Cricetulus griseus: one gene and its partner. The protein of the gene in region 1 purifies or fractionates together with the protein of each later gene. This does not show direct contact. Links are inferred from orthologs where the notes say so. Each region holds a gene or a part of one and is shown in the gene's direction. Other genes may lie near its edges. The genes, in order: Traf3ip2 and Cd40.

What was found.
Region 2: the proteins of Traf3ip2 (region 1) and Cd40 purify together in Homo sapiens (affinity purification with western blotting, with the first as the bait; 3 studies listed by BioGRID). This does not show direct contact. The link is inferred for Cricetulus griseus from reciprocal best matches to the Homo sapiens genes TRAF3IP2 and CD40.

What each region holds. Positions count from the first base shown.
Region 1 is NC_048595.1:262,139,014-262,142,829, forward strand, and holds part of Traf3ip2 (adapter protein CIKS), read left to right. Parts: intron 1-570; coding exon 571-749; intron 750-2,656; coding exon 2,657-2,745; intron 2,746-3,816. UniProt on the Homo sapiens protein: E3 ubiquitin ligase that catalyzes 'Lys-63'-linked polyubiquitination of target protein, enhancing protein-protein interaction and cell signaling. Transfers ubiquitin from E2 ubiquitin-conjugating enzyme UBE2V1-UBE2N to substrate protein.
Region 2 is NC_048599.1:14,354,948-14,358,763, reverse strand, and holds part of Cd40 (tumor necrosis factor receptor superfamily member 5), read left to right. Parts: intron 1-126; coding exon 127-273; intron 274-590; coding exon 591-684; intron 685-3,268; coding exon 3,269-3,330; intron 3,331-3,816.

The sequences.
Region 1 (3,816 bases):
AGCTCAGAGGCATACATGCCATTGTTTCCCCTCAGTACAATGCCCACAGGAATGCTGGAAGCAAAATCATAATGAAGAAGCCATGGCACCAGTCAGATTTTTCACTTACAGAGTTTAAAAGAAATACTTTTAAACCTACATGACTTTAAAAAAAAAAAAACACTTTTGAAACATAAGCAAATGTTATCTATCGTGAAAGGTTGTGTCTTTTTACTTTGAATGCCTTTAATATCAGCCTTCTGTCACCCATCATATTATTTTGTTTTGCTGGTGACCTAGTCTGACCCGTACATGGAACTTATTTTCCCAATTAGATAGACCTTGAATGGAGAAATCAAATCCTGCTTCCCTCTTTTGACCCTAGCACAGGTCCTCACATGTGGCAGCCAGCTGACTCATTTATAGAGGAAACTCCATGGGACTCCTCTCTCACTTCTGTGTCAGAGAACTGGAGGCAGAGGGGAGGAGCCATGTGTTGGTATGGTCCCCCAGTCTGGACGTCTTGCTCTGTCTCCAAACTTTGCCTTTGTAATGAAAATAAAAATTTGCTGTAAACTTATTCCCTTGCAGGGACCAGCTCTATCACCCACCGTCTAGTGGAGCTGGAGCTCCCGAAGGGTCCCTGGAACATCCTGCAGAGCTGAGACCACAGGGCCCCCAGGCTCCATCCCCAGCTGCTGTGCCTAGACCCCCTAGCAACCCCCTAGTCCGAGGAACTCTAAAAACTAGCAATTTGCCAGAGGAATTACGTAAGTTGTTTGCAATGTGGTTTCATCTTGTCAGGTTTTATGTTTGGCTTAGTCACTTACCTATAATCTCAGTTATATTTTACATAGCAAAGTTTACCTTTTCCTTTTTTGCTTTAAAAATACCCAGCCAATTTAAAATGTTTTTAGTAATCCTAACCTCACAAGTAGTGCTCCCAAACTGCTTACCACTGGATTTTCCTCAACACAAAGAAAACAACACCCCGCCCCGCCCCTGCAATACTTCTTTCCTTTTCTAAATGATGCTCTTCTGTGATGTGCCCCTGGGTGGATGGATTGGATGATGCTTGTGTGGAACACGGTAGAAACCTAGTGTTTCACCATAAATCTATCAAGAACAAGGTCATTTTCTGTAGGAGTGAATGGTCTTGTTTGGAAAAAGAAAAAAAAAATCTAAAATCCCATATTGCTCATATCCCAATGCAAACTAAGACTTTTATTTATTTCAAGAAATATCCTGTTCAATGTCAGGTGATGGTTCGTTTGCCACATTATGCTAGATCCAGAAATGGTAAAATATTACCAAAATGTTCTGAGAGTAAGGCCAGCTAGCATTCTTAGTTTCAGAAATCAGTCACTACTTATATGAAGTATTCTGCTAGAAAAGTTCACTCTTTCCAGATCTGGGACACTCAGAACCAAACCTTTGCTTGGCTAACTGCTTTTGTTGCCGCTCTACTCGAGTCACTTACAACTCCAAAGGATTTCTGTGACGTTGAGCACCATGGTTTTCAGGCAAAAAGTTTTGTTTCTGAGCACCTCAAAATCTTTCACATTTCAATCTGGGAAATAACTGAGTGGACAGACATGGTCTCACATGACTTACAGTCCCAATGTTCTGCCTGTCTTATAATCTAGGAAAGGGGTCCTACAACCAGTATGTATGGAGGTGACAAAGGATCCAGTGCTGCCCATGTGCCTGGCCATTGGGTTACTACCACCATCATAGCCCACCACACACACACTCCATCTGAGAGGTGTGTTTCTGTTAGGAAGAGTCAAGCACAGATGAATGCATACAGACTACTCTTCTGCATTTCTCTTCTTTATCCTCTGCCTCAGGGTTTCTTGAGATCAAACTGTTCATTCCAGACTAAAAGGCAATGTGTACAGATTATCTGTCTACCACATTAAGCTGCTAGTCAAGTAATTTCCCCAATACTTTAGTCTGAGAAAGCAGCGGTTATGGCTGGGTAGGGTAAGCTTGTCAGAACAGTTCTGTCTGTGGTTCCGTGCTGCTTGGGGAGGAAAGAGGAAGCTTGCAATGCTGGACTGCCCTGAGGCATTGTCTCCCCTTTAAACTGCTGAACTTGCACTCACATTTCTGATCTGGGCATCAGTCTGCTCCTACTTCCTGACCTTTCTCCAAAAGAGTCGACTGGGGGAGGGCACGGAAACACTTTCTCACTCACCCCTACTTTGTCTTGTTAGACAAGAGTTCAGTGCAGCAGAGAGCATCATGAGATCAAAAGCAGACACTGCTGGTGGCCTCTTAGCAAGCCCTAGCTTCTTAGCCTGCTGTGAGAATATTTTCCTTGGGCATAGGGCCAAGTGTCTCTAAGAAACAAGGCAATGGCTTGAGCTCAAAGGACTTGCAGGCTGTGGGTGGTAGACTTTTTAACATCTCATGTGGCATTCCAGGAGACCTGTGAGGCTGGTCTCAGCCTGCCATTACTCTCCTCTGTCCCTTCTGTCTTCTGTTCACTCTGGATTGTTTGCACTTTCTTGGACAGGTCCCAGCCCTTGTCACAGAGGCCAGCAATCACACCACTGTAGGCAAAAACCCTCAGACCACCCTCCAACACAAAGGCCAATGCATACTCCTTAGAAGTGCTATGTGTAACAGAATAACTTGATTTGTTTCAACAACTCTGGAATTTCTCTCTTAGGGAAAGTCTTTATCACTTATTCTATGGACACAGCCATGGAGGTGGTGAAATTTGTGAACTTTTTGTTGGTGAATGGCTTCCAAACTGCAGTAAGTATTTTATTCAAAGAGAAAACTGAACCATTCAGTTGAACACAGTGATGGTGGTGGTGGTGGTGGTGGTAAAGTATGAAGTTGATGTTTTATTAATTTATGTGGTGATGAGCTAAATGCTTAAGGGTTTGGATAATTGTTTCTGGTTATCTATTTATTTGGTGCTGGTCAAGGCCAGGGCCTCACTCATGCTAGACAAGTATTCCACCACACTTTAAATTACCCAAAGTCTCCAACATTTTTCCTCCAAATGTCCATAGTAGTGCCAATTCCCACTGTTGGTCCTGAAGGAAAGGCCTGGCTTTTGCTGCACTCTCTGCCTTTGCCCTTTCTCACCAGCCATACCCACCTCCTGTGGTATGCAAGCTCACCAAGGTGGTTTTTTGTTGTTGTTTTCCAAACCAGACTCTTTGCTCTGTACTGGATTATAAGGTTTGAAGTAGAACCCTGAACCCCCACTGCACACAGCTGCCCTTCTATACCTTGTTTCCGGAGAGAAGATTCTGGACAGGGAAGACGCAGCCTAGTTTCCATCTAGGGGAGATGGCCCTACATCATCCCTGTAGGTCCATTGTGATCTTGGACCCAAAATTCTCAAGCACATTGTCTTTCTGTCTCCCTGCCAACCGCTGAAACAACACAAGTTAAAGACATGTACATTCTTCCTTAGGATAAACAAAATACCACAGGTTGCCACTCTATGGACTGACTTTCCTCAAACATTAAGATTATTTTCTTCCCAGAAACCTCTCCTAGGCATTCAGCAGCAGTGAATTCCAGAGTGGAGTGAAAAATAGGTGAAATATGGATGTTGGAGGCTAGAGAGGAACACTTACAAATTAAAGAATAAAGAGGTGGCTTAGCATTGTTTAGTAGTTTTTATTTTAATGTGTTTCCTATAATACTTCCTAAAAATAGAATTACATAATTTTTTTTAAAAGATGCCTACAATTTATGTAATTCAACTTCACAACTCTATAGACTAACATTTCACTTTCTCATTTCTAGAGTAAGACAGCGCTGGGGCAACTGTGACATAAAAATCAAATTCTGAGACATGAGACAACA
Region 2 (3,816 bases), on another chromosome or scaffold:
AAGTTAGTTAGTTGATCATCCTCTGTACCAGGAGGAGCATGTAAGAAAACAGGAGAGGATATGAGAAGTAGGACTCTTAGTGTGGCCCAGGGGGGTTTCTCATTCTTCCTTCTCATCTCTGATCAGAGGAAGGGCTTGAGGTTGAGAAGCAGGGTACTGCAGATACAGACACCATCTGTGCCTGTAAGGAAGGGCAACACTGCACTAGTGAGGAGTGCCAGAGATGTGCTCAACACACATCCTGTGGCCCTGGCTTTGGAGTTAAGCAGATGGGTAAGTGGCCTCCCTGGGAAACAGCTCTATGGGTGGAAGAAAAGAGCTGGGGTTGAGCAGTTGGCTTTGGCCCCCAGAAGCTGAGGGGATAGCGACTCCCACTTGGACTGGCATCTTCCCTCTGGGTAACAGGAAGTGGGATCTTTTGCATTCTGGCCTTGGCTATGGGCAACTTCCTGGGGAAGGGGAAGGGGACTCCTGTTGGGTTGCAGTCTTCAGGGCCACCACTGCGCCGGGGCAAGGAGCTGAAGGCAGGCTCAGGCTGTGACACCGTGACTCACAGAGACTCTTGATGCATCCTCCCCACATGCTCCCAGCCACACGGACTGCCGATACGGTGTGTGAACCCTGCCCAGCCGGCTTCTTCTCCAGTGGGTCATCAGCTTTTGAACAATGTCATCCTTGGACCAGGTAGAAGGGTTGCCTCTCCTTAACCAAAAGTAGTGTGGGTCTTGTGGCAGTTTCTCCAGTCACCTGCTGTTCAGTGACTCACTCGCTTGTGAATGTGCCCTCATGGCTGGCCTAAGGGACACTTTCTGCACTTTTTTCTTGCCTGCTCTTGCTTAGTTAATAGAATCTGGGTCTCCCTCCCTTCCTGAAGTCTCTCATCTTGAGGCACCACAGCACCCCTTTCTCTCGATGAATGTTCCTTGTCAGTTCTTCCGCTTTCTGGGCGTGTAGGTGTATGCGCACACTTGTACATACGTGTATGTGTACACACTCTTGTGTATGCATATGCATGTGTGCACGTGTGTGTGTGTGTGTGTGTGTGTGTGTGTGTGTGTGTGTGTGTGTGTGAGATAGCAACTTGGGGCATTGTTCTTCAGGTACTATCCACCTTTTTCTTTTGTTTGAGGCAGTCTCTCACTGGCCCGGAACTTGCTAAGTAGACTAGGCTGCCTGGTCAGGGTTCCAGGGACCCTCTGCATCCTCTGCAGCACTGGGATTACAACCATATGTCCCCAAGCCTGGATTTCTTTTTTCTAATGTGGGTCCTAGGGATTAAACTCATGCTTACAGGGCAAGTAGTTTCCTGACTGGGTTATCTATCCCCCAGCCCTTCTTGACTCTTAGTTGACTTTCTGGTGCTTTGTTTGAGTCCTCTTCTCCACAGTTACTTTTCCCCCTCTCCTGGGCTGTCTTATCTACATCCGTGGTTCCATTTCCCCCTGGATCTGTGGTTTGGGCCCCAGATGGTCAAGTCTTGCTGCTGAATGTAGAGCTTCCCCAACACCTCAGTCTCTGTATAGCCAGAATGGGCACCCAGCCAAGCCCCAAGGGAAAGGCAGGTTCTGGTTTGAGGCAGTCACATAGAGCCGCACACCTTTGCCTTCACCTCTACCTCAGTCAGGTCTATAGTCTGCTATGAGCGTCTTGGGAATCCACCTCTTTACTCTCTAGTGTGGTCTCGTGGGCCTCATCACTGTAGTGTGGTGATGGCTTCGTCTCTTCACAGGCTCTTTACCTCTTGGCTGGTTCTGCATTGTATTGCCATTGTGACCTTCCATAGCCCTTTTTGGATCACAGTACTTTGTGGCTTACAGCACTCCATGGCTCTCTGCTGCCTCTGGGAAGAAGTCCTGGCTCTGGGGTGGGGCTGGGGTCCGGCACGATCCTCTAACTCTCCCCCCATATCTTGTACCCTGCATTTGTACCCCTGAGCACACTGTTTATTCTTTTGCTTCAAAGTCTCCTGCCTGGGAGAACCCTTAAGTACATGCCCCATTAACTCTTTACATTTATTGTTTTAAATGAACAAGCCCCTCCCCTCAGGCTGTTTTCCCAGTGCTCCTTTCCAGAGATTCTTCTAGTAAAGAAGAAACAAACACACACACACACACACACACACACACACAGACAGACACAGACACACACACACCTTATACAAGTTGTGACCTACCTTGTATAAGGGCTCTCTTTCCCCTCCCCAAAGGCTAACAATTGCTTGAATGGAGAGTTCAAGCCTCCCCCCTCCCATGAGTCTCTACTCTGTGTTTGGAATGGTGCCACCTGAGGCACTCATCAGTGTCCACTGGTGGGTATTAGCTGATCATGGAGGTTCCTGTACCGGAGTCAAATGTGCGCCCGCCACACTGCACCACTTAGCTGGTGTGTGCTGCTGTTTCAACTTTTGTACCTTTTGGGGCCCTTCTGATCTTCCTTTGTGGATCCCCTAATTTGTCTCAGGGACCCTCTGCTTCCTATCTGGAATGCCCCTCCCCTCTGGAGGCCTCAGCCGACTGTCCACTCTTCTGCAACGTCTCCTGCATGAGTGACCTGGGAGCAGTTCCTCTTTCTAGTTAGGTCATGAGGCTGGGTGCCAAGGACACTCCATCATCACAGGTGCCTCCTTGACTCTCCTGTCACACTGGTCCCACCTGGCTGGCTCCCTCTTTCACATCCTTCGATGTCTCCATGGAGAAGTCTCCCCCAAAGACCCTTAACCAGAGACCCTTAACAGGGACCAGTTTTGCTCTCTATGGGACCTTGGGCACATCTGGTCATCTTTCAGATGCCGTAATTGGTTAGAGTGCTGTTCCTGGCATTTAGCTGGTGGAGACAGAGGCGCTGTGAAATATTCTGGGACTTAGGATGTTTCCCAGCTCAAAATACCTGTGGGTGCCAAGATGCTCCACTGAGAACCAAACTCATCCCCTCTCATTCCAGCCGTGAGGCTCCTGCCTTTGAACAATGCCCTCTCTGTTTTAGCCCTTATCATCAAGCCCGGCCGGTATCATCCACACTCCTGGCTATCCCTCCTTCAATATAAGCAGTAATTTTTCCTTTCACTTGTGTGCATGTTCCCGCCCTTCCCATAATGACCAGCTCAGAATGCTGCACTGTAAGCCACATGCTCAGTGAACCTGGACTTGCCACTTGCTGCCTGGCTCCCCTGGGCTTGGAAGTCTTATGGTTGGGGAACCCTGTTCTCTCTCTCCCTCTCTACATGTGTGTGTGCATGCACATACATGTGTTCACATGTGTCTTTGTGCAGCTGCGAGGCCAAAAACATGGTGGTACAGCAGGAAGGGACGAATCGGACTGACGCTGTCTGTGGTGAGTCCAGGGGAGAACGGGTCCTGCCTAGTGTTTTAAAGAGGACACAGAGACGCATAGGCAAGAGGCAGTTTGGGGAATAGTACTTCAGCTTGTATCTTGGGAGCTGGATGAGTCACATCTGCTGTGTGAGCCTCAGTTTCTTCAACTGTGAAATGGGTTGGCAGCAGCACCTCCCTTACTTGTACTCCCTTACATGAGAGCATGTCTTGGAATTTTACTATTTTGAAACTGTGAGCACAGTTCTGTTGCCCCTCAATTGAGGTGTGGGTGCACTGTGACACTGTCACCTGTTAGCCTTGGTTTGGATGCTAGGATGAGAAGCTTGACAAGAGGCTTGGATCACGACCTCAGATTCAGGGACTAGGTTGTCACTGAATGAGTAAAGAGAGGGGTAAGAGAGCTGGGTCTGGGGAGTGGGCCTGTCAGCACAGCTACTTAGGAATCTGAGGCAAGAATTTTGCAAGTTCAAGCCTAGCCTGGGAA